Linked DNA regions of Struthio camelus. The protein of the gene in region 4 binds, or shares a complex with, the protein of the main gene of each other region. Links are inferred from orthologs where the notes say so. Each region holds a gene or a part of one and is shown on either strand. Other genes may lie near its edges. The genes, in order: SERPINE2, SERPIND1, FGG and F2.

Region 1 (6,889 bases), on a different chromosome or scaffold from region 4:
CCAGGTTTTTCAGCTGCGAGGGTGGGTGGGCAGCCCTTGTTACCGTAGCTTTATGTTGATGCATTATAGATAGCTGCTCATTTTCCTCGGAGACTGGAAGGCTGGCGTGGAGGCTTCTGGTGCCAGCTGGGGCTGAGAAGAAGCTCTCTTCCCATCGCTTTTGCTTGTAGCATCTCGGCTGTGAGCAGATCTGACCTGGTATCTGGAACAGAGAGGCTCCGTGGTTTTCCTGCCTGGCTGCTGAAAAGCAAAACCTGCCTGGCATCACCGGCGGGGCGGGTGGGGAGCTGCGGCTGTAACCGGAGCCCCGGGACTCCAGGGGAGAGAAGCCCGGACTTCTCCGACTCCAAAAACTGAGCTAATTACAGGAAAGGGCAAGGTACGGGTGGGAAGGGTGCCGGCCGTCGAGCTGCGGCGTGCCCTGCCTTGCTGGCGGGGGCAAGGCTTTCCGGGAACGAGCCGAGCGTTGCCCTCGGATTCGGTTCCCGCTTCCGAAGTGACAACTTCTGAAAACCAGCCGGGATAGGCTAAGCGGATGCAGATTAAGCAGATTTCCTGTGCTGCTCCTCTGGGACCGCCGGCATATCGTGTGTCTCCGAAACCACGGTAACGTGGAATTATTACAGCCCTGAGGAGCGCTTGCCGCGGCTAGTGGCTGCTGTCAAAGAGGAACAAAAAGAGATGGTTCCTGCCCCCAAAACAGTGAACTTTCATAATCTTAGTTTTTGGTTTTTGTTTTGTTTTTTTTTTTAACGTGATTAATAGAGCTGTTCCTATGTTTATTGCTACAAGGTCAAACCATTTGTTTTCACGGGGTATGCTAATACAGTCAGTTTTCTTTTCTTTCTCAGCTAGACTCTTTTTAAACAATTTCTTAGAGGTTTGTTTGGGAAAGTATTGCAAACACACTTCTATGTGATATATTTATGCATATTCTGACTGATTGGAATTCAGCTCTGCACTATACTAATAACTGAGAGGTTGTAACGTTTACAGATTTTGCTTTGAGATTTAAATTTGAGAGACAAGCCTAGGAAATAGACCTTACTACTACCCACTAGACCCAAATAGGATCCCAACAAAGAGAAACAGAGAAAACAAATTTTATATCTGGGCATTAACATTCTCCCAGATGTTGTGGACCATCTGCCAGGATTTTTTTTTAGCTCTAAAGTAAGCTGCATTTATAACACCTATAAAGCCACTGATTTTTCTCGCCTTTGTCTCCACCCCCCCTCGCTTTGCAAAGATTGGGATATATGCAATAGCCTCTGAGTGAAAATTTTCTGTTGGTGTCAGTGGACGTAGAGCAGCACGTTTAGGACCACAGGGGACTTGGCTCTGTAAGCAGCGTTGATGTATGCTTTGCAAGGACTTGGAAGTTGTATCCTTTGTAGCAATGACAGGGATAGCATCAACTCACGCTTCTCATCACCTGTCCCATGGAAAGGTGGAGTATCAGTGGGAAGGAGAAAGGTCTGCAGCTGGAGAGGAAGGTGCATCCCCCAGCCCCTCCCCGGCATCCCCGCCTTCGGGTCACTCCTGCGCACCAGTGCTCCTGGCAAGGAGTTTTGTAGCTGAGAAGGTTTTTATCTTCTGAACTGTTAATGCCTGGGATGCTGCTAGCTCATTCTGGCAATGAGGTTGCTAACTTTTATTATTTTGAAGATATCTGTATACATATGACACGTATTTATGTATAGTGTACATGCACTACCTACAGATACTGGAGTTAGCAATTCCCATCTTATTGCTATATGATCGTTACATCAACAGTGTATTTAGATTCCCTAGAACTCAATATTTTATTGAAAATGAAATTAAATTATTTACTGAAATATTGAAACATCTTATCTAGTTTTGTTTTAACTCTGAATACCAGTGATTCCCTCCAAAGATGAGATTTATTAGACTTGAATGCTCATTTTTTTGTATTACTCCCACTGGATTGAAGGCAGATTGAAAACTGGAGAACTGGACGTTCAGATGGTCCAGGAAATGAAGGGCAGAACTAGCACTGGGTTAATTTTTTCCCCTCCGAGTTATGCTGACAGCAACCATAACACTAAGGCTGCAGAGTTTATTTACTATATAAAGGCCATACTTTCCCTTCTCATCCCAGCTTTTTTTGGCTTGTGTTGCTTGGCAGCATCTCCTTAACCACTAACACCCAGAGGCGTGGTATTAAACTGGGATGAAAAATGAGCATGCAGAAGAATATTGGAGATTTAAGTGGGCATGGTTCTGAGAAAACCGGTGGAAAATATGTTTACTCCAAGCCTCTGTAGCACCTAATTGAAGCAGTGATATTTTCTTTGAGGACATAGAAAATGCCTTTCTGCTTTCTCTTTGGCTTTGAATTTTACTTGGAATCAATATGACATAATCCACAGAATTATTTTCTTACAGTTGCAATGGAAACTTTCTGCCGATAGATGAGGGTGTGTTAATCAGGGTGAAAAAGATGACATTCATTCAGGCTTTGTTGGTTTCGAGAGTCATTGTTAGGAACTGTTGCGTGTTCCTAGTTTATTGAAATCTAGTGCTCAGTAAACACTATTATTTTTGAACTATTAATGTTGCTATAAATTTGAAAGGCTAGAAAAAGGTGGCAGATTGTGATTAAAAGGGAGCTGAAATATGTCTATGTGTGGAAATCATTTTCTATACTAAATGTGACAAAGAATGAAACGTGTATTTATGAGCTCATAAAGGATGATTTAGTGGTACTAGGCCTACAGGTTGGGCATCACCAAATGAATTTCTGTGAATCTAATTTAGAAGAACATAAAAGATCCCCCATCACCTCTAGAGCATCTGCAAACGTCGCCAGTCGGTAGTTCGTTCCTACTCCTTTTCCATAATTTGGAAGCTAAGCTCTCTGCCGGCGTTACCCGCCGGGACTGCAGCGCCGGCCGCCCAGGTGAGGGGCTCCCCTGCCCCAGCTCTTTCTGGTCTGCCGAGGAAGCGCGCAGAAGGAAAAGGGCTCGCGAAACCTCCCGCTTCGAGACGCGGCCCTTCCTGCAGAGCTGGGGCCCTTCGGGCGAGCGCCGGGCGGCCGAGCTCTGCCAGCCGGGAGCTGCCGCCAGCCCTGCTCTCGCGCCCCTTCCAGCCCAGCGCCGCAATGCCCCCCAGGGCCGCGCGCCCAAACCCCTGCAAGGGCCAAGTCTCGCCGCAGCTTACGAAAGGCAACGGGGCAGCGGCGGCGAGGCAGATTTGCCGGGGGCACGGCGGGGGGCTCTGCCCTGTCCTCGCCCCTTGCGGCGGTCTCCGGCCCCCGCGCGCGACCCTCCTGCCTGAGCACCCGGCAGCGGAAAAGCGATGGGAAGAAACGCAGCCAATGGGAAAGGGCTCGCTGGCAGCTCCTGCAGGAAGAAATGAGGTTAGTGGCTGCCAAAAATGTAGCTCGAGAGAGCCGGAGAGATAACAGGGAAAGCATGGGAGAGTTTTCTCCGGTTCCAGGGCTCCGCTGCTGAGCTATTCGTCTTTATGAAAAGAAGAGGCTGCCAGCGCCCGACTAGCCGGGCGGGTTTCCCACGGTCCCGGCCCGCAGCGCCGGCACCGACGGCCGCCTTCCCGCCCGGGGCAGCCCTCGCCGGGGCCGGCAGCCCGCCCGCGACCGGCTGCAGCTCCTGGGGCAGGGAAGCTCTCCGACGGGGACGTTGGCGCGCCAAGGGAGCGGGCCCGGCGCGGGAGCGAGCGAGCTTGCGCGGGGAGGCTTTCAAAGCCTCGGGAACGGTTCCTTGGGCGCGCTTAGTTAGCGTGAGGCAGATACCATAATTTTAATTAACGTGAAGCTAAGCCCCAGTCAGCAGTTTTAGCCAATTATGGTCTCTTGTTGGTCTCGTGGTTCTCCAGGGCTGTTCCAAAATAAATAAATAAAGCGCGTTGTGTGTGTTTCCGATGGGAACGCATCTGCAGGGAACGGCCTTTTATTTCCTGCTTCCCTGTCCACCCCCCCCCCCCCCACACACACACACTTTTTAAGGGAATAGTGGCCTGCAGTGGTGGCCTATTCCAAAATGTGCTGATTTAAGCTTCCAAGTGTTTTTAACTGTATTCATCTGTATTTGTACAGTGCAGCTCTCTTGACAGGCACACGTTACAAAGTGCTGAAAATACATCAACGAGCAACGCAGCCGCGTGGTCCAGGGAAGCGCGACGATCTCACCGGGGCAGGACGCTCCTCCAGCCCTTCTCGTCGCTGCAGCAGCGCGGCCGTTGGGGCGCATCCCATCGCTCAGGCGTTTCCCCTCGTCGTCGTCTTATTCCCCTCCGGGGTACCTGAAGAAGCAACAAAGCGCCAAGTTGTAGCCCAAAGAAGGGGGGTGGGGGGGCGCGTTTTGATGCCGACGTGCAGGGTGTACGGCTAGAGGACCGGCGCTTTGAGCAGCTGCTGCCGTCGGCGAGGCTGGGCGGCCGGCGCCGCGGCCTCGCTGCCGCCCGGGCTCCCGGCGGGCTGGGACGCGCCACCCTCGGCGCAGAAAACGCCCTTCCTCTGCTCGCGTGGCAGCCTGGCCCTCCCCTTCCTCGCCTTTACGCGCTTAGGCAGTAGCTGTCTCAGAAACGAACCACTTCCACTTTTTTTTTTTCCCCTCCCCCAAAATAGAAATTTGCATTTTTTCACAGACCTTGGAGACCGCGAAGTGCACGAGAACTGTGGGGAGCGAGACAGGCTGGGAAACGCGCTGCTCGGCGAGCCTCGGGCCGGCGGGGGCTCTAGCAGCCGCCGTGATACGCGGTCGCCTCTGCCGCAACGGTGTGATCATGCCGTCAGGGCGACTGGGGGGAAAAAAAAAAAAAAAGCTCGATTTTATCATTTAATGAACGGTATTGTTTCACAGTTGTATTTTTGGAGATTAGCAGTGAGCAGAAGCAGCCACTGAAGCAAGGGCTGGAGCGCTGGGGACTTCCTGCTGCAAGCCCGTCGTTTCTGAAAGCCCGGCGGAAAGCAGCGGGCCTGGGCTCCGGCCGCACAAGCGGCGCCAGCAACTGGGTTTGATTAGAAGCAGTTGCATGAACGTACCTGCGGGGAAAACGGTCAAAGTGGAAAGAGCCCCAAGCTGCTGGAACCAATACTGCAGGCACTGCTATGCCAAGCAGTGCCTGGCTTCCAAAAGCCATTGCAGAACAGGAGCAGTTTAATACCCATCTTGTTATGGGGACCGGTTTCCAAACTTTGCTCAGTGAACGGTTGAATGAAAAGCTAAAGTCCTTTCCTGGACAAAGCTTTGCCACCCTTTTTTTGGACAACGGGAGCTATTCGTGTTGCACGTTTTCTTGGGTATGGCGCGCTGTGCCCACAAGGAGGTGGCTTCAGACCACGCTTACAGCTTTTAAAGCTGGGAGCACTTCTGGGATGTGCTCAGTCTGCTGTAGCCGCAGGTTGTCACTGAAAGGGGCAGTCTTGCTCTCCTCTCGCTCCTCGTCCCCTCCCGTGCCAAAGCGTTTCCTGGGGGGTTAGCTTTCTGCCGGATTGGAGAGGGGCCTCACTTGCCAAATGGTCACCTGGCTGCCAGGTCCAAGGCACGGGAGCGCTTGGGAAGTGACAGCCAGGGACAGGGACGAGAGCGGACCTCCCCGTGGGACCTGATGCTGCACGCTGTTGTCTGAATGTCTCTCATCTCCCAGCGCCCAGAGCAAGGCTTTATTCTAGGACTGGCTCCTTGGGCACAGACGTGACTCCTTAAGGCACAGGACAGGCAGGATTCGGCCTTTGCAGGGTCTCTGCTGTTTTTGTGCACAGAGGAGCAAATCAGGCGGAAGGTAACACTCAGCTGTTCTCACTGGTATATAAAACAAAGCAAGAGGAAGCTCTTGATTAAAGGAAGGGTATTCAGATGTAATCTTTAGCTCTCCGTGCACTCAGGGATGAGCTGCGCTTCCTCCCCAGCCCTGAGAGGCACTTCAACCCCCGCCCCGTGCTCAGGGCATAAATAGCCCAAATTCTGCCACTCTTGCATGTCTCAGCCCTCCTCCTTTCAGAAGGATTAATCAGAGTGCAAACTGATGGAGGGAGGAGGGCAGAGCTCTTCCCAGGCTTGCATTTAAGCCTGTAGTTAAGAGACCTGTGCCTTTAATCTCTATAATCACAGGGTCTGCTGCTGGGAAGTATCAGTGCGGTGACAGCTCTTCCAGGGGCAGCTGCACTTTCACAGCTCTGCAGATATCCAAATGCTGACAGGTATTTCTAAAAATGGTTCTGAAAATGTATTTTTACCATTGCATATACCTTAAACCTTCACTGGGGCCTCTGTGCAGCACTGCAAAGCATGTCTGAAGTGCGATGCACTAAAATGCAAAATATTTATGTAAAGAAGTAAAACACTATAATTCCTCCTCTTTTCCTGTAAGTGTAAATTAATGGCAGTGAAGAGCCATGGTGGTGAAATAAGTGGGGTGAGATTGTGGGAGAGCTATTTTTAGGCAAAAATATGCAATGCTTCAATTGTCACCAATTTATTTGCTTTTTTTAATGTGCACAGGGCTTCAGCAGGCTTTGAAGCGCTGGCTTGCTATCCGCAAGCTCCCTGAACTGCAGAGCCTCGGCTAGGGCTCTCCAGTTGTGTCCGCAAGCAGATCCGAAACCAACGCGAGAACAGTGCCCCAGCAGTCAAATGCCATCTCCTGCATTTGTGGCTGTGTCCTGGAATGAGGGCTCCCCCTCTTCCCACTGTGCAAGTGGTACACTAGCAAAGAAACTTGGGAACCCCATGCTCTGCTAGTTTCCCACGGGATATTCATGTGTATTAATAACCTTACCAGCTTCTGCGGCAAGCATTTGCAGAGAAACATGAATCATGTGCTGTAATGGAAGGTGGTCAAACTTTGATTTTTTTTTTTTCTTCTCCAAATCCATGATTGTTTTTGGAAAGGGAAAGAGGGTTGT
Region 2 (7,367 bases), on a different chromosome or scaffold from region 4:
TTAAGGATCATCATCAGTGTTGTAGGGTTTACATTCACAAGAGCTTCTTTTATTAATCCTTTGGTCAGCTTCAAGATACGCTCATTGGTTTTAGTTATGAAGTTAGGATCTGAAAAATCAGCTGGTTGGGCATCAGCATAGTAGTATGTTTTCATATTGTTTTTGAAGTCATTCAGAATAGAAAAGTCCTTTTGAATATAAAGATCACTGACAGACCTCAGCGTATAACCAAAATTGCGCCTGAAAAGCCGATGAGTGAGTTTGCGGAAGAGATTGTGAACAGTCATGAGCTCATACTTGGTGCTTGCGTTAATGAAGTCTTCAAAGCCAAGAACAGATAACACTTCCTGGTGAGTGTGACCCTTCAGTCCCAGGGAAATCATAGCCATTGCAGTGGAAATACCTACAGGAGCCATCAGAATATTGTCTGAAGAGTTGGCTTTATCTGCCACGCTTCGGTAAAGGTTGAAGCCAAAGTTTGCATTGAGGATGTTAAGGCGCTGGATCCTGGTTTTGCCTTGAAAAAGTTCAAGAATATTTCCTTGCTGAATTTCGGAAATCATGTATGGACCAGCATCAATAATGTCACTGTAGTCGTCTTCACCCAGTATCTTGTCAAGGTCTAGATAGTCCTCTTCCCCCTCCTCTTCAGGAATCAAGTCATTAGTGATAGTGTTTTCTCTGTGGAACTCCGGTGGAAAGTTTGGCATATCATAGGTCCCATTTTCATGTGAATGTGCATCTTTAAGGCTTTCAAAATGCTCACTAAAGTCCTTGATTCCACCAAATGTGGAGGTTATAATGAGAGAAAGGGCAAACAAATGAAGTGGGAGCTTCATTCTGAGAGGTTAAAAGCTGGAAAACAGTATAACACAGTTGAGAAGGTGTATGGTAATTGCATTTCACGGTTACCTATTCCCTAAGTGAGAATTTCAGGTTCACTCTGAATTCTGTCAGAGTATAAGGTCTGTAGTTATCTTATTTGACAGTACTTTTACTGGTACAGAGCTTAATTAGTTTTACTGCTAAAACATTTTTATTTACCCAGTGTCTCAAGTCTGACAAATGATTTGTTGACCTCTTGCCATAGGAGAAGTAGTTATTGACATTCGAGCGGAAACAGACTGGTTACCTAAAATACCTAGAACTCCTGATTTATAAACCAGTAACAAATAAATTTGTACTAGCTGTATTTCTAATATATGCTAACAAGCAGATGTGAAGATAGCCTCAAATGTTTGAGCTTGGGAGGAAGAGGGACCAGGCATTCATTAAAGGAGCATATGAGAAGTCTGGGATGTGCAGAAGAATTTGAAAAACGTATATTGCGTAGCTACAGGAAAATATTGGAGTTTTATGAGAGTATTCTTTGGAGGGCAGGGCTGAAGTTGGATGGAATAAAGGAGACCTAAAGATGTAGCAACAAACCCGGAGACAGGCATGCATTTGTAATAAATGCCCTTAGTGGGACTGCCTGCACTGCATTAGGTGTAAGCATGTCTTTGCCGACTCATGGTCTTACTCAGGTGTGTTGCTCCTGGACCATGCACACTTCTAACAACTGTGGTGTACTAATCTGCCTCTTTCATAAAGAGTTCTCTTGATTCTGTTCATTGTTTGATTATATTTACTTTCTGTAGGACTGCACAGTATGAAGTACTCTCTTTGTCTTCTTCATGATGTGAAGTCTCTTTAAGTTCAGATTTAGAACTTTGATTCTCTAGTGTTAATGTTATTCTGATGCTAGATTTCTAACCTCAGTTACTTTGTTTGAGAATGTATTTAAGTAGAACCTCCTTTTTCAAAAAAAAAAAAAAGTCTGTTTGTCTATTGAGTATTGTGCTGTAGCATTTCTCTGTGATTTTTGAAGCCAAGGACTACGCCTTAGATGCGTATTATGTGAGGAGAATGAATCAGCCTTCCTCAGCTGTAGAACACTGTAGCCAGAAGCAAGTCTGAGAGAATTTTCTCCATAATCATGGTCTGCAATAATTAGTGGCCTTAAAAAGATACAAAAGGTATAATTCCTTCATATGATAATCAAGGAAAGTCCAAAATATAAGAATTTAATAATTCTGTATCAATTGAAACTGTAAAATGATTATCTGAATGCCAGGCTCTTGATTTCTGAACAAATTCCTTGTTTGATGACTTGATGACTTCATAAACTCAGTTTTCACTGTCAGTATTTATTTTGAGTGAAAAAGCAAACATTTACAGTATAATCTAGGGGAAAAAACATTGTATACTGTTAATACAAAAATCTTACTAAAAGCATTGATGAAAGGGTTTTTAAAACTAGCACAGAGTGCAAAGAGCTGTTTTGTAGAAGTGAAATGTGTGGATACATTTGTCTGTGTAAATGTGAATAAAGCCAACCTAGGAAGATGAATATTTACAAACGTGCTGTAGCAGGACTGAAGTAATTAAGCAACCATTTTAATCTATTAAATTCCTCTCTTTAAGCCTGCACTTCTAAAACCATTTAAGGTGATATATCAAAATAATATATTTTTTGGTAATAATGTAAAAATAATGAGCAGCTGCCTTTTAAAGAGTTTTGCATTGTGACTGAACGACCTCAATCAGTATTTTTCTTGCATCTTTATAAATTCATTGCTTGTCTTTCCCTACCCTCAGAAATAAAGCCTCTAGGGCTAAGGTACTCTGTGCTGTAACTATTGATGAATAAATGTTTTCTGCTTTTGTCATACAAGAATTTGCTCTCTGTAGTTTCCAACTTGACATTCTCATCTTTACCAAAGTTTAATTGTTGTTTCGCTGCATTTATATAGGCAAAACATTCCCCCACACCACAATAAATGCATCTTTGTGTGAAATCTAACTGAAATAACAGAAGATGTAAAAGAAGCTTACCTTTAAGCCACTGCACAGAAAGGATGTGTTGAATAGCTCCTGTAAGGGGAATAGAAGGGTTTAAAGCTGAACTTTGACGCGAGTTTTTTGTGTATCTCCAAAGTAAACATGCTCTAAACCAAACACTAACTTGCTTTGTCAGCCAAAATCCCTCTCTTTGCATAGTGATCTCTGCCGAATTGTATGTTATTTGTTGAGCAACTCTTACAGCTTTGTAGGTACTTGTTCACTTTTGAGGAAAATCTTTGAGCAAAAATTGGTGTGTATGTAAGGTTTCAAAGTCAAGCATGCACATAAACTTGACTGTTCATGAGTAGTAAAAATCATGTCGTTGCTACTTTGCACTCGCTCAAACTGGGGGGCATCTTACTATTTTTATGTCCCTAAAACACAGAATCCTCGATTGAGGTCACTGTGATTGGGATGTTCGGGTTACTTTAGTCAGTTTTGTGTTGTTGTAGACATCTGCTTTGCACAACCAACTTGTTAGTACAGTGCTTTTCACCAGCTTAAACTCAGGTTAATTTTACTGAAAAAGACGCTTAGATTGCAATCTTGCATTTTCTTAATGAAACTTCCATTAATCATATCCAGTCAAGCTGGATAAAGCTCTCGGTTGCTTTCTTTCACTCTTTAAACACGGATGTGCTTCTAACGTTTTTTTAGGGTCACAACAGTATCAGATTTGTTTTACAAATTTATATAAAATTGCATATCATATTGACTGGAAGTATAAAGTGCTCCAGTGCTAGTGGCTGTTTGTGCAAAAAGTGTCAACTTTAATAAATGTATTAAAAATAATGTTCTTTTACTTGCTTGTTTAGTAAGTTCTCCAGGACTGATGTCATTCTGTGCGTGGGTGCAAACAATAAAAGATCCCCAAATGGTGCCTCAAAATATTTCTGCAAAGCCAATAAACAATAGCAACCAAAAATACCTTAGACTAATATTTCTTTTTGTTACTGACTTCATTTGCACTGAAATAAAGTTGCGTGGTATTGCCTTCAACTCACTGTTTAAAGAGTGCTGTGATCTCTTCCTGTCTCCAGTTCTTATATACTGATAGTATGTCCTCTGTAGAGGTTACTGCATCAATATGGTATATTCCTGTGTAAAACCAAGTGAATTTTTGCTTCATGTATTTCAAATACTATCATTTAAGGTATTCTAACAAAATCAAATTTTCTTCGGTGTAATGATAGCAATGTAAAGTTAGTTTAGAATAATATTAGCCTAATATTAGAAATTACGTGACAATATTGCCTTTGGAAACCATACTAAATTAAGGTACATGAAGCGATTCCTTAACATGTAGTTAAGTTACCATAACCCCCCGCATCTTTAGATTTTAATTTTTATTTCTTTGTTAGCTCACTAGGCGCTTGCCACCCATCAAGGAGGCTAAGCCCAGGCTGCAAAAGCTGTTCCGTGACTTCTGGTTGTATTCAGTGCTGATGGGATTTGCTGTGGAAGGATCAGGTAGTGTAAATTCTAGTAGAAAAGCATTGATACCCAGTTTTAAACTCTTGATGAACATAAATGTAATTGTATGAAAATCATTCACAGTAGGCTGAAGAAGGATTACAGACATAAACAAAATGTAAAGTGAGCAGCTAATGTGACAGTTTTCTGGTAGAATTTCATTACATCCTGGTCCTATTTTGCTACGGGATTCAGCACAGTATGATTTGTTCTTGTACTTAGGTTTTTTTTTTTTTTTAATTTTTTCAGCTAATACAGCTGGTTAGCCATGACTTATAAATATGAGTTTTGATAGCTAAGCTTCTGAGAGGGAAGATCAGACACATAGGTAGAAAACATTAGGTAGAAACTTAGGTACCAAACAGAAGGTAGAAACTTATCCATGGGGAAGTTTCCCTTGGAGTTACCTAAGCATATTTGTTAGGTTTGGGACACAATCCGTTATACTGAACGCTTGTGCATAAGCCCATGGGAAGTTGGCCCTAAGAAGTAGTGCAAAGCTTGATAATGCTGGTTAACTTTGTGAGTCTGTTAGATTCATTAGAGGATTGGTAAGAATTTGATTTAATGATGATAGTAATAGCTGAATATGGTTCATTGAGCTGTATCAGCCTAATATATTGTCGCGCCCCCCCCCCCCTTTTTTTTTTCCCCTCTCCCACCTCCCTCTTTGTGCTTGTGCTCCAGGTCTGTGGCCAGAAGAATGGTATGAAGGTGTATGTGAAATTGCCACCAAGTCTCCATTACTCACATTTCCCAGCAAAGAACCTCTTCGATCTGTTCTTCAGTACAATTCTGCCATGAAAAATGATACTGTGACTTCTGTAAGAATCAATATCTTTTATTGTATTCTTCTATAATGTCCTCCAGGTATTAAAATAATATAGTATCCAAGGAATACTTCATTGGAATAGCACAATACTGTTTTTACCTTCCTCTTATTAGTGAAAAACAGCTGTTTTTGCACTACTTTTATGGCAACAGTATACGTGAATGGCTTGGGTTTGTGTTCTTTGAGTGTGATAATACATGTGTTTGATGTGGTAGCTACACTATTTTAGTTAAGTATAGAAACCAACTCCATGTGGAGAGGGAAGCCTTCTAATAGTCTGTTTCATCCATTCTGTATCAGGCTGATAAAACTTATACTATAAAAAAAATTAGCTTTGGAAGGAAACAACCCGTTCATTCTCTCCTCTTGCTCAAAAAAAGGTTGATTGAGCTTTTATCTTTTTTCTTCTGACTTAATACTGGTATACTTCTGTCTCCCTAGTGTCTACAGGATAGATTTTACCTGAAGAGTATTTGTGATAGGAGTGTAAGTGGATTGAAGAGTTGCAGCTTATGAGATGCCTCTGTTTGGCTCCCAAATAACATAGAAATCTGCATGTATCTAGATGTTTAGTCCTGTGATATCAAAGCACAGCACAACAGTCCTATGAAGTTTCAGAAGCTGGATAGCAAATGCTTTCAGAACACAAACTATTATAGTCCTCCCACTTTAGATAACTGAATGTATTCATCTTTAGGCTGAATTAAATGAGTTACGGAGTACCATAATAAATCTCTTGGATCCTCCTCCAGAAGTGTCAGCGTTGATCAATAAATTGGACTTTGCCATGTCTACCTATCTCCTTTCTGTCTACCGTCTAGAGTATATGAGGTATGCGTGTACCTTTTTTTTTTTTTTCTGTGCTGGATTTTTTTAAATCATGTTGGGTGTTTGCTTTTAGGGTTTTGTTGGTTTTGATTTTTAATTTTTAAATGTTTGAGTCAGAATTGCCAGAAACTAAGATAAATGAAAACCAGTATTTTGTGTCAAAGTAGCTTCATGAAGACTGACACTAGGAGTTCATCTGTGCCAAAATTCCTTTAGGATGAATAAAAGGATGGAATGCTATAGCTGGGCCCCAAAAATGTGAGCTACTCTGTATAGGAACTAATTGAAGATGGACAAAAGGGCCCTAGAAAGGACAGTCTTGCAAGCATAACGCATCTGCACAGAGATGAGGTCTTATGCTTTTACCTCTGAAGAATAGCACAGGTGGTCCTCTGTGCTGTTGAGAGCATTGTAGTCGAGGAGCTGAGAGAATTATTTCTGTAGTGTGCTTTTATTCCCTTCACTAGTGTGATTTACCAATTTAATTTACTGAATGCATTTAATTTACAAGTTTATTGATTACTGCTATTCAAAAAAAAAGTCTGTAGGTGAAAGCTGAGGTAAGGGTCTGGCAGTGAAGAAAACAGGAAGAAACTTCCCCATCTCATATTTACTTTGACAGTAACTAAACAACAAGGATATTTCCTGAAACTTCTTGGCTGTCCTTTAGAAACAGTCTTTTAATAATTAATATATCTCGTACAAATACAGCACATGCAGCGGCCTATGGAAATGCCAGGAATTGTACCATGCTTATGTGTTGGTGGTGATTATGTAAGTGCATCATCAGGTTTACCCCTCCTGTGGTGTGGAAGTTATTTTCTCGGTGGCAAACCAGCTCTTTATCATCTGAGCCGTGTTAGTTCAATGTAGAAAGAAATGGCAGTATCAGACTTCCTGGAGAATTAAAATTACTGTGCAAACAATCATTACTGTTTGTGTTGGTATGTACTGTGCTGTTAAAAGTACTCTAGATTTGTGTTGAAGATGTTTAAAAGAAAATAAAATAAAAAACAAAACAAAACAGCCTTCCCTCAAAAATGCAAAACTGTTGCCCTTCTAGGGTGTTGCGTTCAACAGACCAAGATCGCTTCCAAGTCATGTTCTGCTATTTTGAGGATAAAGCAATTCAAAAAGACAAATCTGGTAAGATTCTAGTATCTCAAGTTGCAACATAACCTAGATAAATAAAGTGTGATCTCCAGGCATGCAAAACTAAAACAAATCAAGCTGAACTAAGTAACAAAGTGAATCACTTTCAGTAGGTTGCTATTCTTTTATTTTTGCCAGAGAAAGCTGATTTTATTTTGAAACGATTTTGTTCACTGCTGACTGAGTAAACATAAAC
Region 3 (6,827 bases), on a different chromosome or scaffold from region 4:
CTGGCAATACTTGTAATTGAATTATCCCTCCACCATACGAGAAGTATTTTGTGCACCTCTTCCAGTTGTCTCCTGTATTTCAGCAGTATCTTTGCATGGCTCCTGACAGCGTGATTCAAGCTGAGCAATCTTCTGTTTTAGCAGTGTGATCTTATTGTTGTTAATTATATGCGTATCTGTCAACTGTCTGCAGAGACATAAAAATGGCTTGTCGTCAGCTTGTTGTCGGCTGTTTCTTACTGACAGTAATAAACATTTTCCAACACACACATGCCTTACTTATCTAGTATGCCATTCCAAAAGGGCTGTCTTTCTTAGCACTGATATTTAAAGTTGAGGAAGCCCTGAAGAAAGGAAGCAGCCTTTGCATTTACCCCCAGGCAGAGAAGTACCATCAAATTCTCCTACAAGCAGTAGAGTAGGCGTTACAGCCCTCAGAGCTCCTCTCAGCTAGTGCTCTGGGAGAAAATGAATTTTCTGCTGCCAGCTACTGTTTGGTGCAGAAGGTTCAACCTATGCTCTGCCATTCACTGGCCCCTTTTTTCTCGTGGCTTTGACTGGCTGTGAGTGAGTATCAAGCACTACTGAGCTTGCAAGGACCACTGTTCCAGTTCGCGTCTCGGCAGGCTGTTTGAGTATCGGTAGGCTCTTTTCTCCTTACGCCCTCCCAAGTAGTGAGATTAGAGCTTGTTACCCGCTTGCCCCTTGTAAACAGTCAGCAGAACTATGGCAATAAGCAAACAGAATTCAATTTTCACGTAGGCATAATGTTTTTAACCAAAATTGCATTCCAAAGGCTGCAACCTTTTCTGTTGTTAGATTACCATGAGAAGCATGGTCCCTCATTTCCTTTATCTTCGCTGTGACTTGCTCCTGTCCTGTATTCAATACTCCGTACCCAACTGGCCAAAACAGGAAAGCGTGCACTTGACCTTACACCAAACTTGACTTGACTTTATCTCTCCAATCAGCAAAGCTCAAACCAGTAATTAATACATGAATACAACTGTATAGAGAGTTTTTCTTTCTTCTCCTGAAGTATATGATAAATTATTCTTTTTAATTATGGATACATTTGTAAAACATAGGTTGTACAACTAAACTGATGCAATAGCTAGAGGGCCTAAGTCATCATTGATATAATATTATACGGAAGGGAGATTTTGCTACAGTCAGGTCAAAAAAACATACCATTAACATTTGGAAAAGTTAATGATCTTTTCAATCCTATCTTACAACGTCTATTTACAAAAGAAGGTCACTGAGTTTATAGTTGCTTATGATTTATATCAGCGGAACTAAGAGCCGATTTTCATGGATATATGCAGTAAAATTAGCCAGAGTCAGTGATTATATGGATATTCAATACACTCTTCAATACAGCACGAACTCATTTTAATAAATCGCCAAACTGCTTGGCAAAATTAGTAGGAATAGTTCACATAGCAAATGAAACATAAATAAAAAATTTGCCAGCCTTCACAACATTCTCATCTCGCACCTCTTGCCCAATTAATGGGTTAGGTAGATGAGCAAAGAATGCTACATGAGATCCTCATTATGACTTACTAGACAGCTATTAAAAATGTGAGCGTAACGGTCCAGATAAGCACAGAAAACCTTTCTGAGAAAGCCTTAATGCAGTTGATAAAAGAAGAGAAAGAAAATGGTCTGGACTGGGATACCAAAGGTGGAAGATACCTACTGTATAGTATTTTCATGAGACAAAATAGTGTTTTCATATCTGATAATTTCTTCAATTATTTTCCTGGACTTTTGAGTAAATCCATCAATTGAATCTGTAAAACAGGCAAAGATGTAAAATTAATGTAACTAATTGAGCAAATGAAAAAACAAGCAAACTGCATAAATGATATTTTTTCAATGGAGTCATTATTTGTGTATTCTCACTTGGTAGTGTCTGCTTCTCAGGAGGACTGATGGTTCGGATGTGTTGGATCAATTGCTCTGTTGATGCTGTGGAGTTAGTGATTTGCTGCAAAATTCCCTCAATTTCCTGCAGTTCATTATCCATAGTGAGATGGTATTTATTAAAGAAATCTGCAATGCCACAGGTAGTTGGGCAATAGCTACCCTAAAGAGGAAAGAATAATAATTGATAATGTTTCAGGAGCAAAAAATAGCAGCAGAATATTTGGGCAGGAAAACTTGCTGTCACTTTTTATACAAATAATTGTGGACAAAAAAAAGGTAGGCATTTGCCATTTTGTCTGCAGTATTTGAATTTATAGGGACAATTTAGTGTCACGCACATATACATACACACACATAACAAGAAAATAGTGCATGCTATTACTTTTAGTGCCTTCTGGATAAGTGCTTTTATCAACAGTGCAACCTCCTGTACATTTTTAACAAATGTGTACCGCTATTAATAACTGGTTTAAGCACAGAGCATTTAATAAGTGTAGAAAATAACAATGAGGCTCAAATAAAGGTACAAATGTGTGCCGCTAGTTCATAACCAGTGCAACAAAGCTTTAGTTAGCCTCTTAACACAGAAGAAAAGTATTCAGATACTTACAAATCGCTCATCTAATATGCAGCAGTTTTCTCTAGTAGCGATGTACTGAAGAGAAGAAAGAAGATCATTTTCAGTGAATTTTCTCTGACAGCATTTTCAGCACTGACATGTTTTCTAAAACTCTCTAGCTCCACTTACCGCCATGCTAGTAGAAAAGAGCAGGGAGAAGAGAGGCCCCAGAGGCACCCAGCTGCCCAGCTTGAGCACCATTGCATCCACCCTACCACGCGCTGCCGGCTGCTCTGGGCAAGTGCAGGCAGCAGCCGAAAATGTTCAACCCTGCGCCCTGGACAGTGCCTTTATGGTCCTCGGCACACCAGAGCAGCGGTTTAATGGAGCAGGCTGGAGCGGGGGGCGGGCACCGGGAAGTAGCGGGAAGAGGCGGGGGTTTGAGGTAGATTCCTGGAATTTGCACACATCTCCTCCTCCTCCAATGTTCAGGACCCGCTTCCCACTCACCCACCTTATCTCTGTTCCAGCCAGGCGGTCTTAAGACAGGCCAAAAGGTGGAAAAGGGCACGGAGACACCACTTCCACTAACATGAGAGCAAGAAAACTCACACAGGGTTTTGGAACGGGGCCTGACGGAAGTTTCATTTAATGAGCATAAGGACATACTAACCCTCTGAATTATGTGTAGGAACCATCAATAGCCTAGTAAATACTACCTATCTAAACTATCAATATACTATCAATACTAACCTATCAACAAACTATCAACAGCCAAATAAATAAAAAGAAAAATTTGCTGCTATGTAGTACTTTCCCTCAGCAGATCTCAGCGTGCTTTGCGAAGGGGACCGCCATTCTCCCTATTTTGCAAATGACAAAACTGAGGCAGAGAAAGAGCAAACTGAGGCAGAGAAAGGTATGAACCCACACTGGGCAGTGGCGTATCTGGAAAAAGAAGCCCATGGTATTTCTCACAGGCAATGAAAGTGTGGACCTTTTCCATCCCTCAATCCAAGGAGTCCGTTTGAACAACTTTGATCAAAATTTCCTTGTGGGGAATTAATGTTTTCAGTATCGCAGGATCAGAAAGGTTTCTTTGTCAGTTGCCATGCGTCTGGAACTAGTGTTTGCGGAAATGTACTACTTCTAGATAAAACTATTATCTCCCTGGGGGCAGAGGCTGACTCTGAGTTTACATTTGTACTCTGCCTCATTCAATACACCTAAGAAGACTGGTGACAGGATCCCTGCTCTGCAACAGACTGTATCCCAGGAGAATTATTTTCTGTACGTGCTTCTGCTTACTCTCTGTAAAATACCAGTGTTAATATCTTTCTACTCAGGTTCTGCACCTAAATCTTCTGTTTAGGCTACAGCTTCTTCAGAGAAAGCCTGCATTTGTGCCTGTACCATATCAGGAGCGATGGGGCAGTGTGGACTGTGACTTCTGACTTCAGTGTATGATTGACCAAAAGATGAGAAGAAAGGTGGGACTGAGACTCAGGAGTGCTGAGCGTCACCACTAGATCTGTTACTGGCTGGCCTCATGATTTCAGGCAAATGTCTTCACCTCTGTACTGTAGAGGTGCAGTATTGATCTTCAGCTTTCTTTGCTAGCTATTTAAAAACCGTAAGAAAAAAGCACATCATAAAAGCTAGATGTTATACTATTACGAAATTAGATATGATTATGTCGTGAAACACAAGAGTTCCTGCCCTGTACATCATCTTTTCACCTGGCCAACTGGGAAGTTCCCATCATGTTCAGGGATCCAAAAACACATTGCCAGAACCATATGTGAGCATTTATGATGCTAAAAATCAAACTTATGGGACATTTAAGTGGAAGCTGAAGCACTGTGGATGGGAGAATCAGCTTTGTAGCGACCATACCAATGACGGTGATTCAGTTGCCTGCCTGCCAAAAATCCTTTTGAAGGGATGACCCTAGAAGTTTGTTCTTGCAAATCTTGCATTGGTTGGTCCTTTTTCCCACATAGTGAAAACGAAATAAATAGAAATGGGTAAAAAGTCAACCTGCTCTTGTTGTGTTTCTATCATTGCTTCATTGGAGCTCTTAACTTGGGCTCAGGAAACGACTATCAGGACCCACTGGACTTGGAGAGAATCTCCTTGCCACTGCTGCTCACACATTGCTTGAGCTTGCTTTGCTGCTTCACAGGCTGCAGGTCTTCTGCTGGAGTGAGGCTGCTCTTGGGGCCAGAGGGTCCTGGATACACAGTTTCAGTGGCTGTGCACCACCAGGCTTCCGTGAGAAAAGATTATATAGCGTGAGTAGGTCACTGGCATGAACTTCCCAAAATAACTGGGCAAACTTCAACCACAAACGTGCATTCAAGAGCATGGACGGGCACGTAACGTTCACAACATGACAGGTGAACCACGTAACACGATCCGGGTATCCTTCATCCCTTAGCAGAGTTCAGAACATGCCCTTTTCTTTTTTCACTAATAATGGTACATATAGGCGTGATACTCTTTCAGAACTATACTTGGTAACAGAACACGGAAATTTTGGTCTTGCATTGCTAAGCAGGAATTTCAGGATTCACAAAAGATTGTAAAAGTCAGTACTGCCAGTGATAACCATTAGTTAATCTTGAGATAAAATGTCTAACATCTTAAAATTAAAATATGATGACAGTTGTAATGAAATAATTTCAATGTATAATGTGATAATTTTTACTAAAGTCCTTAATATCTTAGGTAACAAAAAACAATGTGAGAGTTTCATTGTTCCAAATAATTTGCTAGTTGGTTTTGGAAAACAAGCAGATCATTATGCCTACAAATGGGTTAGGAGTTGGAAAAGTGAATTTTCAGCAAGTTGCTTGTATTATGCAACTTTCTAGGATCACTTTATAGATCTATATTCACAAAGGAATCAATCTGAAACATTTCTTTAATGATTAGCAAATATGTGTATACTGTATAAGTGCTGTCTAGTTGTATTTCTGGTGGCAACCTCTTGTACTTCTTGGCAGGAGATGCAGCTATTTAAACCTCACAAAATGTTTGTTTGCTTTGCTGATTACACGGTCATGACTTAGCCTTGCGTGATTAATCCTTCCACATCCTTGCTTCCTTCTCTTTCCTTCTATGGTTTCACTTGGCATGACTTAGAAATAATTTATTCCTACTTTCTCATTAGGTTGAAAACAATACTTATGCTTAGTGGAACGGCTATGCAGTCGTTTTCCTGCCCTACATACTATTTTCCCTTGGTTGGTCCTGGCTGCAAAACAGCTGACCCAAATGCTCTAGAGATCTAGTTGTACTCTGCTATATGTCCAACATAGTTCGACTGTGTTGATTTTATGACCAAATTTATCTTTCCAGCAGGTTTATTTGCTGATTTGCTAACGAATTAGGAATGATTAATGTAGCACAGACTGAAGGAAGAGTTCTCAAATTCAGTTTACCATTTTTCTTGCCATTTATTATTTCAGTAGATAGTAAAGGTGAATCATTATTTGTTTAGAACAGCCTTGTTAATGAAGCTCAATGGGTGAGTAGCGTTTTATTCATCAGATACACCCTCATCTTCTCTGTCTCCGTACCTCCATATAAATGCAGCTATAATTCAGTGAGTTTATTATTATCGTCAAAGAGCCACTGGGAAACTATCCAATACCTTGCTATTATTCATAGTAAATCTTTCCTCAGAAATACAAAGCAGGAAAAGAAACGTGTTTCTATTTGTAAATTAGTTCCTGAATATCAAAGCATTCTTACGGCTGTCTTGGAAAAACAACTGTTTCCAAATGTATGACTCATACTTATGTGTGCTTACGAATCTAACATGATCAATATATACAATTTCAGAAATGCTAGAATGATACTTTAACATTTCCAGTGGGATTTTGTTATTGTTTTAACTGAAACTGTTGAGTGGGCTTGAGTTGGATTTGCCTGTTTTTTCAGGTGCTCTAGAAGTGAATTTTCTTATAAAAAAATAAATACCAAAAACAAATATTGAAAAAAAACCCAGAAGTAAATACTGAAAAAAATGTCTGTTTTACTTCACAATCCATCATCAACATAAGTTACTCTGGCTTGTACTACTAATAAGCTATATAGATTGGTGTGCACAGACTCTTTTGCCAGGCCAGTCTATGAGTGAGTTGATAATTTGGATGAGAAACAGAGATGGTTAAACAGCTGTGTAGTGTTGAAGCCATGCTGCCAGTGTGCTAGGAAAACTACCGCTTTACAAATAAAAAATAGAAAAGTGAAAATGAAAAAAAAATACAGTTTTGTATGTCATCTTTCTCTTTCTCTTTCAGTATTTAAATTTTAGTCAAAAAGT
Region 4 (7,254 bases):
TTGCCCAGGATCACGTCCAGGTGGGTTGTGAATATCTCCAGGGAAGGAGACTCCACAGCCTCTCTGGGCAACCTGTTCCAAATCCTCAGGGACAGAGCCTCCGGGTGAGAGTGTAGGGTATTCATCTTTTTGTAAATGTACCTAAAGCGTTGCAATTGCTGATCAAACTATGTAACTCACCTCAGGAGCATATTCAGAAACATCCCAGCTTTTGAACGAGCAATCTATATTGGTCGCAGAGCAGACAAAGGCCCAAGAAAATAGGCTAAAGTCAAATCCTCTATATGCTGCTCCCAGGAAGTTGGAAAAAAAGTTACATAAGAAATAAACAGTTGCAAAAAATTTCCTCACTTAAAAAAAACCTCAGTCTATATGGAGCAAAGAATCAAAACTCCCAATTGGGTTGAAAACCATGCCTTTGGGAGCAAAAAAGGTACAAATCTTTATTACTCTATGACAGGAAAACAACATCCTTCACTCATGGCATAAGCGCAGAAAGAAAAAAAAAGATAAAAAGTTGCTTACAGGAAAGGTGAACAGAGACACAAGAGTAAAATGTTTGAGGTGTGGAAGTCAAAGCTCCTGGAGAAGTGATAGCTGATGCACGCTATCCTGCTGCAGAGGCTAATCACAAGAATGTGTGGGGGAAAAAAAACCAATTACTGATTTAAGCTAAAGTTTGTCTTTATTAAGACAAACTTTATTATAGAGAAGACAGAGAAACGAAGGAATGGAAAAAAAGCGTGACTGAGTATATTGAAAGCTCCTATGAAGGAAAAAATTGCATCATTGGGAACAAAGATAACTATTAATAACAATCTTGTGTTAATCTTATCTTCAATAGGTAAAAAAAAAACCTGAGAGTATCCCATTCCAAACTTACAGATACTGAACTATGTAAATTATGGGCTTGCATATGTATGTGGATTTATGAGTACACTTTACACATTTACAAAAGGTGCTATACAATGTGAGGAGAGCTGAATTGCTGGCAAGCTCACATAAACCCTCCTGTGAGAGGCCTAACTATAGGCCCAAGTACAAGGCCTTTGATATCTCTGCTACCTTCTTCACCATGTCACCAGTAACACTAACAAGGGATCGGTAAAACAGTCAACAAATCACAGAAAAGCTATTCACCACCAAGGTTATGATCAATCAAATGTAATCCAAACATGAACCAATTGTACATATATATTTAAAAAAAGGAAAAAAAAAAGTTCTCAGAATATGGACCCTTTCTCCCCTTTGGCAAGGTGGATCAAGCCCTGTCTTTCTGATCAGAGCAAGTCTATGGACTGTTCTTCCGAGTACAGGGTGGTTGAACAGTGGCTCCTCTCCTTATACCAATTGTGTTTTGGCCCACTTTGTGGCTGCGCGCAATGCACCTCCTGCTGATTACAACACCCTGCTGGGAGATGGCCCCCCCCCCCCCCCAACCTGCTCCAGGAGCCCCTGTGAGACCAGCACAGAGGTGGCTGAAATCAGGACAACTGAGCTGGGAGACGGGCATCTGCGGGGCCAACTACTCACAGGAGGGTTGCGGTTCTGCTGGGTAGGCAGCGTATTAACCACATTGACCCCATTGCAGCAGGTCAACACGCTCCAAGGGGAAAAAAAAAAAAAAAAGATCAGAGCCTGAAGTCTACCCAAAAGCACCGGCCAGATGGAAAGGCCTCACAAAAGTGTTAAAATTAAGAAAAAAAAAAAAACCAAACAAACACGTTAATGCTGGATCTGAAGTACTGCGCCAGAAGTTACAGCAGCCAAATGAATTAATGCGTCAGACTACAGGCTCCATACGCAAAGTAAGTATTACCTGTAGAACGGATGCCCAGGAACACCTCCGTCTTCCTCTACGCGCCCGACCGGCTGTCACAACGCACGCTGAAAAACGTCAACGCGCGCAAGGGGACTTGGCAACACCGGCAAGCCCTTCTTCATTGGACGGCATGGGAACGACATCCACGCACCAATTAACAACTGAAAAGCAGCCTGACCTCGTAGCAATACAAGCCTTACATCAGAATCAACACATCATCCAGCCAGCCCACAAGGCAAGTAGCTGGCGCCGCTGCTGCCCAACGGTGCGACATCAGCGGCAGTTTTAGCTCCAATACTACTGCTATTCTACACCCCTTCTCGTGCCCAACGTTAGTTCCACTTGCTGCTACCCTTGTATTATTAATTGCAGCAATTGTGTCATAGATAAGAAGCTTTCCAGCAACCAGAAAGCTTACCGATGTAACCTGCAAACTACAAAATCTTCAGGAAAGGGCAACTGTGCGAGTGCATCACGGGGTGGAGCGTAGCGGGACCAGCCGGAAGACCATTGTGCACCAAGGAGTTAGAGATCCACGGAGCAGCTGACCTGAGGAGGCGCAGGCCTGTGCTGTGCTGCGCTGCACATATCACTTGGCCGCAGGATAAGCTTGGCTGGCTAATTAGAACAGAGGACTCTGCAAGCAGCTCCCGCTTGGTGCCTGGCGATGATGCCATCGACACGTTCTTGCCTCTGTCTAAAAGTGAAGCAGCATGTTTTCATGTGAACGTCCTTTTGCTCGACAGTAGAAATGACGAACAGAGCTGTTTACGTCTAAGAACATCCTACAAGAGCTTGGAAAACCCACAATGCCGGTGAACCTCACCGTGGATGGGATCTGTGCAGTGTGTCACACACTGACTAAAGATCCATCCGATGCTACACAACTTGGGTTTCCCACTATCTAGAGAGACATAAGATCATCTACGCTATCCCCTTCCTACTTCTTGTGTCAGCTACAATAAACGTTGTTCTAATCAATACTTTACGGGGTCTGAGTGCCTTTCTTAATGGGATCTATAACGAACACTTGCACCGGTGCATTACACCTCCATAAAATATGGCAGCATCTGTCTCTCTCATCACTGCTATAGGGGGTGGTGGTGGTGTCAGTCTTCCTGTGATGATATTTCTGTGCCCTGCATTCACATCCATATGGACTTGCTCAGGCATGACCAGCAGTCCTGAGGTCATGTGTCCAACCTGCAGCATGAGCCAAAAATCAAATCATCACATAGAAAACACATAGGTGTGTCCTTGCTGCTATCCTCTGCTCCCCAGGCAGCTGAGCCTGCCAGCGGGGCCTCCAGAAGTGTGGAGCCGTTTGCACCTCCCCTCACAGAGAGAAGCAGTCGTGACTGCTACGTGAGACATGAGACAGCAGCAGCCCTGATTTCATCACTGTTCAGAAAACTGTTTGTTCAGCGATGCTTCCTTCCTGCCCCAGCCTCATAGCGGCCCCTGCCTGTGTAACCCTCCTTCCATAGCGCTGCTTCCCTCATGCAAAGTAAAACAGGGTGTTTCTAGGCTTGTGGCTAATCCTGCGCACACCTGCTCCTCCACCTAGGTCATCTCAGCCATTCCTAAAAACATCTCTCCAAAGTCCGGGTGAGGAAGTATGAAAACAGGGAACGGTCTTAAACACGGGAGAGAGTCTGTGCAACTGCTCTTTGTACCAGTGGCCAGAGAGTCATTCCTCAGCTACCCTAATGCTAATATTTGCACATCTACTATGGAGATAAACATTACGGATATGTCTGCTGCACGGAGGCACAGCACAAAACATGCTCCCTGCTGGCAGAAAGCACTTTTGTGCCATGTGGCAGTTCCTGGGACTACCCTCACCTTGCCCTGCTTTCCGCTGTTTTCTCACAGTGAGAGAACAGTGCCATTTTTTGCTTGTTGTAGGAATCACTAGAGCTTTCTCAGGTCAAGTAGCCCAGTTCGTGGCTTATTCATTAGCTGATGTCATGACACTCAAGATAGTCCTGCCTCCCTATTCCTGGAAGCCCTTGTTTTCCTGGCTGTTTCGGGCTTGCATGTTCCTTGCTTGGCAGAGCTTCTGTTTCCTTTTGGATTTATTTTAGTATGTTCCACTGGTGTGGGAATAAAAGGGGGGACCCAAACTTCACTGCCTCACCCTCCTCCTGGGAATCTTAATGCAGTGGGAAGTATGCAATGAAAATGGCCTTGCTGACCTAACTGGGAAGAACATTTAAATTCCACAAGGACTGTAGCAGGCACTCCTGCTCCTTGGCATGGGTGAGGGAGAACAAGGGGGAGACAAGCTGGCTCTTTCACGCTGCTCTAGTGCCAAAATAGCTGCGGCTGAGCTTGCTGATAACTGCAGGGAGAAAAGACAACAGGACTCCGAAGGGTGGGCTTGTAGCTAAAAAGAGGACTGGGATTGGCTAAGCTCTCCAAGTCTTGCTGCGCCTGAGGCTACTAAAGAGCCCAGACTGTGAGGAGACTCAGCTGCAGGGAACCAAGCCAGGGTGGTGGGGAGGCTGCAATCCTGCCAAGAGCCAGAGGATGAGCAGAGTGAGCTGCTCTGGTAAGGGTGGCTGTGAGCTGGTAGAGACCTCTCCAACCCAAATTCTCCCGATACCCTGGGACAAGCTCATCATCTTGCTCCTCATGTCCTCTTCCCTGCTATGAAACGGGATACTAACTCTACTCCTGTTGCAGGGGGTGGGGGGAGGGGGAGACCAGCACACATCCAGAGATGTTTTGTGTTATGGTGTGGTTTCTGCCAATGAAGTATGAAAAGGAAGATACCCTGAAGGGAAGGAAAAAAGCCAAAAGAGGAGGGATAAGAGGAGCCTCAGCCCCACTGTCCCTGACACACCACGACCTCTGGAGTCCTGTTTCTTCATTCTGGTTCAATATTAACCCAGCAGGGCTGTGACTCCGCTTATTCTGTTCCCCTTGCGTTTCCCCTGCAGCCAGGGCTGTACAGCATGGCGCACAGCAAAACCAGCATACTGAGGGGCCTGCTCTTTTCCAGCCTTCTGCACCTCACATTGAGCCATGACGGAGGTAAGAGCCAAGGGCCCAGGGAGGAGGGCAGTACCAATGGGTGATGGAAGGAAGCAAAAATGTGGTTATTTCTTCTCAAGGGTAAAGCCCGTGGGAGATTCTCTAGGTAAGGCAGGGGGAGTTTCTAAAAGCTTTAAGTTGGGAATTAAAGGGTGCAGACAGTGGTGTGAGCACAGGGCTTTCCTGAGGAGGATGCAGCAGCTTCCAGCTGCGGGCAGGAAAGCCTAGTGACAATAGCTCAGTTGATTGTGTGGGCCACAGGGGAGATGGCAGGGAAGGGGAACGTAGCTAGGTCCAGGATCTTGCATGGCTCAACTATGGGCCTGTTTGGGCTAGTTAAGTCAGTTGACTTGGGTCGCTGCAATTCTCCATTTCCTCCTCTGTCCACCCTTATCTCCACTTCTGGTCATCTGCAATACACAGCTGTCCTACACTCACTGCTCCTTATCTTTTATTACAGTCTCTTCTCCCTCTATCTTTTCTTAATCTAAGCCCACTACTGTGTGTGGGAAGACCTGTTTACAGGGCTGAGATTAGGGTCTCTGAACATGAAGACAGAACCAAATTGCACCTTATCGCAGCAGTTTGAGGTCAGCAAGACAGAACATAGCAGTTGGCACAGACCAATAGCAAGCTCAGGCAAACAACCTTCTCCCTAATGGCAAACGAGCAGAGCTGCCCTGCCAAGGATAATGGAAGATTCCCCTCACTTCTGAGGGGAATCTACGTGATGACAACCCTCACAGCTTATAGAGACTGCACTGATCATCAGGTGTGGACATGGGGGGTTGCTGCATGGTGGAATGGGGGTGGGGCTGGGCTATGGGACCAACACACTAGCTGAGTGCGATTTTTGGAAACAATAAGGGGAGACAAAGAGGCCCTCTCACTGCAAGCATCCCATTGACTGGCCCTGTTCTGACTTGGTAGTTTTCCTGGACAAGAGGCAGGCACTGTCACTGTTCAAGCGCCCACGACGTGCCAACAAGGGATTTCTAGAAGAGATGCTTAAAGGCAACCTGGAGCGAGAGTGCCTGGAGGAGATATGTAGTTACGAGGAGGCCTTTGAAGCCCTGGAATCCACTGCTCGCACGGTAGGTACAGGGCACATGGGTGCTCCTAAGAAACATTCCCTCAACCAGCTCCTGTAGCGAGAGACCAGCATGCCACACACACAGCCAGGGACTGGGGGGTTGTAAGACACAGTGCTGAGAGATGAGGCTGATGTGTGCATGTGCCCCTGGGACAGCTTAAACTTCCTTAGGGAAGCTTGGATTCTTTTCCCTCCCTCTTTAGTTTAAGGACAAAGTGAAAATGAAACAGCCTTCCCTCAGCCATCAGTCAAGAACTGCACCTTCCACTTCAGCATAGTGCCACACATCTTCAACTGCCACAGCCCCCAGTGGCCCTCCAGGACACTCACAAAACAGCTGGCTTAGCAACCAAATACTGAGTGCAGGTGCCTCAAGACCCTTTGAGCTTAAGCTTTGGCACTGTCCCTTTTTCTGGCTTCTGGACTCGCTCACTGCAAAATTTCTGTTGGCATCCTTTTAGGAAACGCTCCTAGCCCCAAGATCAGTATTAGTGTTGAATTCCGCGTTCCAGAAAATACAGTGGTAAACAGACGAACGTTTGAGAGTTCAAGCCAGTAAGGTACAAGCTCTACAGAGCATTTCTAATGGAATTGCTCTCAGGCATGAGAGGTCTGACAGACATAGATCTAAAGAGCTGAGCAATACCTGCATACTATCTGTGGCCTCCGTTTCTTCACTACTCTAGAGCGTCCTCTGCCTTTTACCAGCCTTTAGAAGTTCTAGATCCAATTCCTTGGACTTCTGTAGAGTAGTACAGGCTTTGTTTCCTCTGCACATTGATAAGAGAACCACTGCAAGCATCTCTGGTCTCTTGCAGAAATGCCAGGCCTCTCTATCAGTCTGCTTAGTCTCCAATCCATAAAAAGTGATCAAAGTCTCTTCTTAGATGATCTCTGGCTGAATTAACAGCCTAATATGGATAGCAAATATTCCTGCACAGTAACTGATCTTTGGTTGCATTGAGTTTGCATCTCTGCATTTTTTAGGCGCGGTAATTTTCCTTGGCACATCCTGCCTGTTCTAGGTCAATACAGAGGCTACAAAGACCAAGCGCAGGCTCAGGACACATTAACAACCAAAACGTCTTTCATAGAATGGTACAGACTCCTGCAGACATTAGGTTAATCCATCACAGGGACACTGCTATATTGCAGTACTGCCTTTTATCAGTAAAAGGCATAAGGCAAAGCACATTATATGGTGGTGAGATAAAAACATGTACTTTGGGAGATCCAAGGCTGTGAATGGAAAGCAGCTAAGCAGAAGCCGTTATTGCAGCATTCCTCAACAGAGTTGTAC

What was found.
Region 1: the proteins of F2 (region 4) and SERPINE2 are in contact, whole or in part, in a crystal structure (PDB 4DY7), measured with the Homo sapiens proteins. The link is inferred for Struthio camelus from reciprocal best matches to the Homo sapiens genes F2 and SERPINE2. Residues at the interface, in NP_000497.1 of Homo sapiens: His406, Tyr410, Pro412, Trp413, Trp455, Arg456, Glu457, Asn458, Leu459, Glu509, Thr510, Ile542, Asp562, Ala563, Cys564, Glu565, Trp590, Gly591, Glu592, Gly593, Cys594; in NP_006207.1 of Homo sapiens: Val225, Arg288, Ser355, Ala356, Thr358, Thr359, Ala360, Leu362, Ile363, Ala364, Arg365, Ser366, Ser367.
Region 2: the proteins of F2 (region 4) and SERPIND1 are in contact, whole or in part, in a crystal structure (PDB 1JMO), measured with the Homo sapiens proteins. The link is inferred for Struthio camelus from reciprocal best matches to the Homo sapiens genes F2 and SERPIND1. Residues at the interface, in NP_000497.1 of Homo sapiens: Lys384, Ser385, Pro386, Gln387, Leu389, Leu390, Cys391, His406, Cys407, Tyr410, Pro412, Trp413, Asp414, Lys415, Leu423, Arg425, Ser430, Thr432, Arg433, Tyr434, Lys440, Ile441, Ser442, Met443, Asn458, Leu459, Lys470, Trp511, Ala513, Asn514; in NP_000176.2 of Homo sapiens: Glu75, Asp76, Asp77, Asp78, Tyr79, Leu80, Leu82, Ile85, Phe86, Asp89, Asp91, Val305, Glu306, Met307, Thr308, His309, Gln327, Asp343, His361, Lys362, Arg388, Thr457, Val458, Gly459, Phe460, Met461, Pro462, Leu463, Ser464, Thr465.
Region 3: the proteins of F2 (region 4) and FGG are in contact, whole or in part, in a crystal structure (PDB 2HWL), measured with the Homo sapiens proteins. The link is inferred for Struthio camelus from reciprocal best matches to the Homo sapiens genes F2 and FGG. Residues at the interface, in NP_000497.1 of Homo sapiens: His450, Pro451, Arg452, Arg461, Arg486, Ala489, Ala490, Leu493, Ile530, Val531, Glu532, Arg533, Cys536, Asp546, Asn547, Met548, Phe549, Cys550, His605, Phe607, Arg608, Leu609, Lys610, Lys611, Trp612, Lys615; in NP_068656.2 of Homo sapiens: Pro439, Ala440, Glu441, Thr442, Glu443, Tyr444, Asp445, Ser446, Leu447, Tyr448.

The regions. Positions count from the first base shown.
Region 1 is NC_090950.1:12,846,577-12,853,465, reverse strand, and holds the start of SERPINE2 (glia-derived nexin), read left to right. Parts: upstream 1-3,884; 5' UTR 3,885-3,894; intron 3,895-6,889. UniProt on the Homo sapiens protein: Serine protease inhibitor with activity toward thrombin, trypsin, and urokinase. Promotes neurite extension by inhibiting thrombin. Binds heparin.
Region 2 is NC_090958.1:9,956,039-9,963,405, forward strand, and holds the start of SERPIND1 (heparin cofactor 2), read right to left. Parts: upstream 3,009-7,367; 5' UTR 2,878-3,008; intron 856-2,877; 5' UTR 840-855; coding exon 1-839. UniProt on the Homo sapiens protein: Thrombin inhibitor activated by the glycosaminoglycans, heparin or dermatan sulfate. In the presence of the latter, HC-II becomes the predominant thrombin inhibitor in place of antithrombin III (AT-III).
Region 3 is NC_090945.1:39,324,248-39,331,074, forward strand, and holds the start of FGG (fibrinogen gamma chain), read right to left. Parts: upstream 3,023-6,827; 5' UTR 2,756-3,022; coding exon 2,684-2,755; intron 2,591-2,683; coding exon 2,546-2,590; intron 2,096-2,545; coding exon 1,912-2,095; intron 1,800-1,911; coding exon 1,706-1,799; intron 188-1,705; coding exon 57-187; intron 1-56. UniProt on the Homo sapiens protein: Together with fibrinogen alpha (FGA) and fibrinogen beta (FGB), polymerizes to form an insoluble fibrin matrix. Has a major function in hemostasis as one of the primary components of blood clots.
Region 4 is NC_090946.1:39,725,473-39,732,726, reverse strand, and holds the start of F2 (prothrombin), read left to right. Parts: upstream 1-4,251; 5' UTR 4,252-4,376; intron 4,377-4,767; 5' UTR 4,768-4,782; coding exon 4,783-4,861; intron 4,862-5,791; coding exon 5,792-5,955; intron 5,956-7,254. UniProt on the Homo sapiens protein: Thrombin, which cleaves bonds after Arg and Lys, converts fibrinogen to fibrin and activates factors V, VII, VIII, XIII, and, in complex with thrombomodulin, protein C. Functions in blood homeostasis, inflammation and wound healing.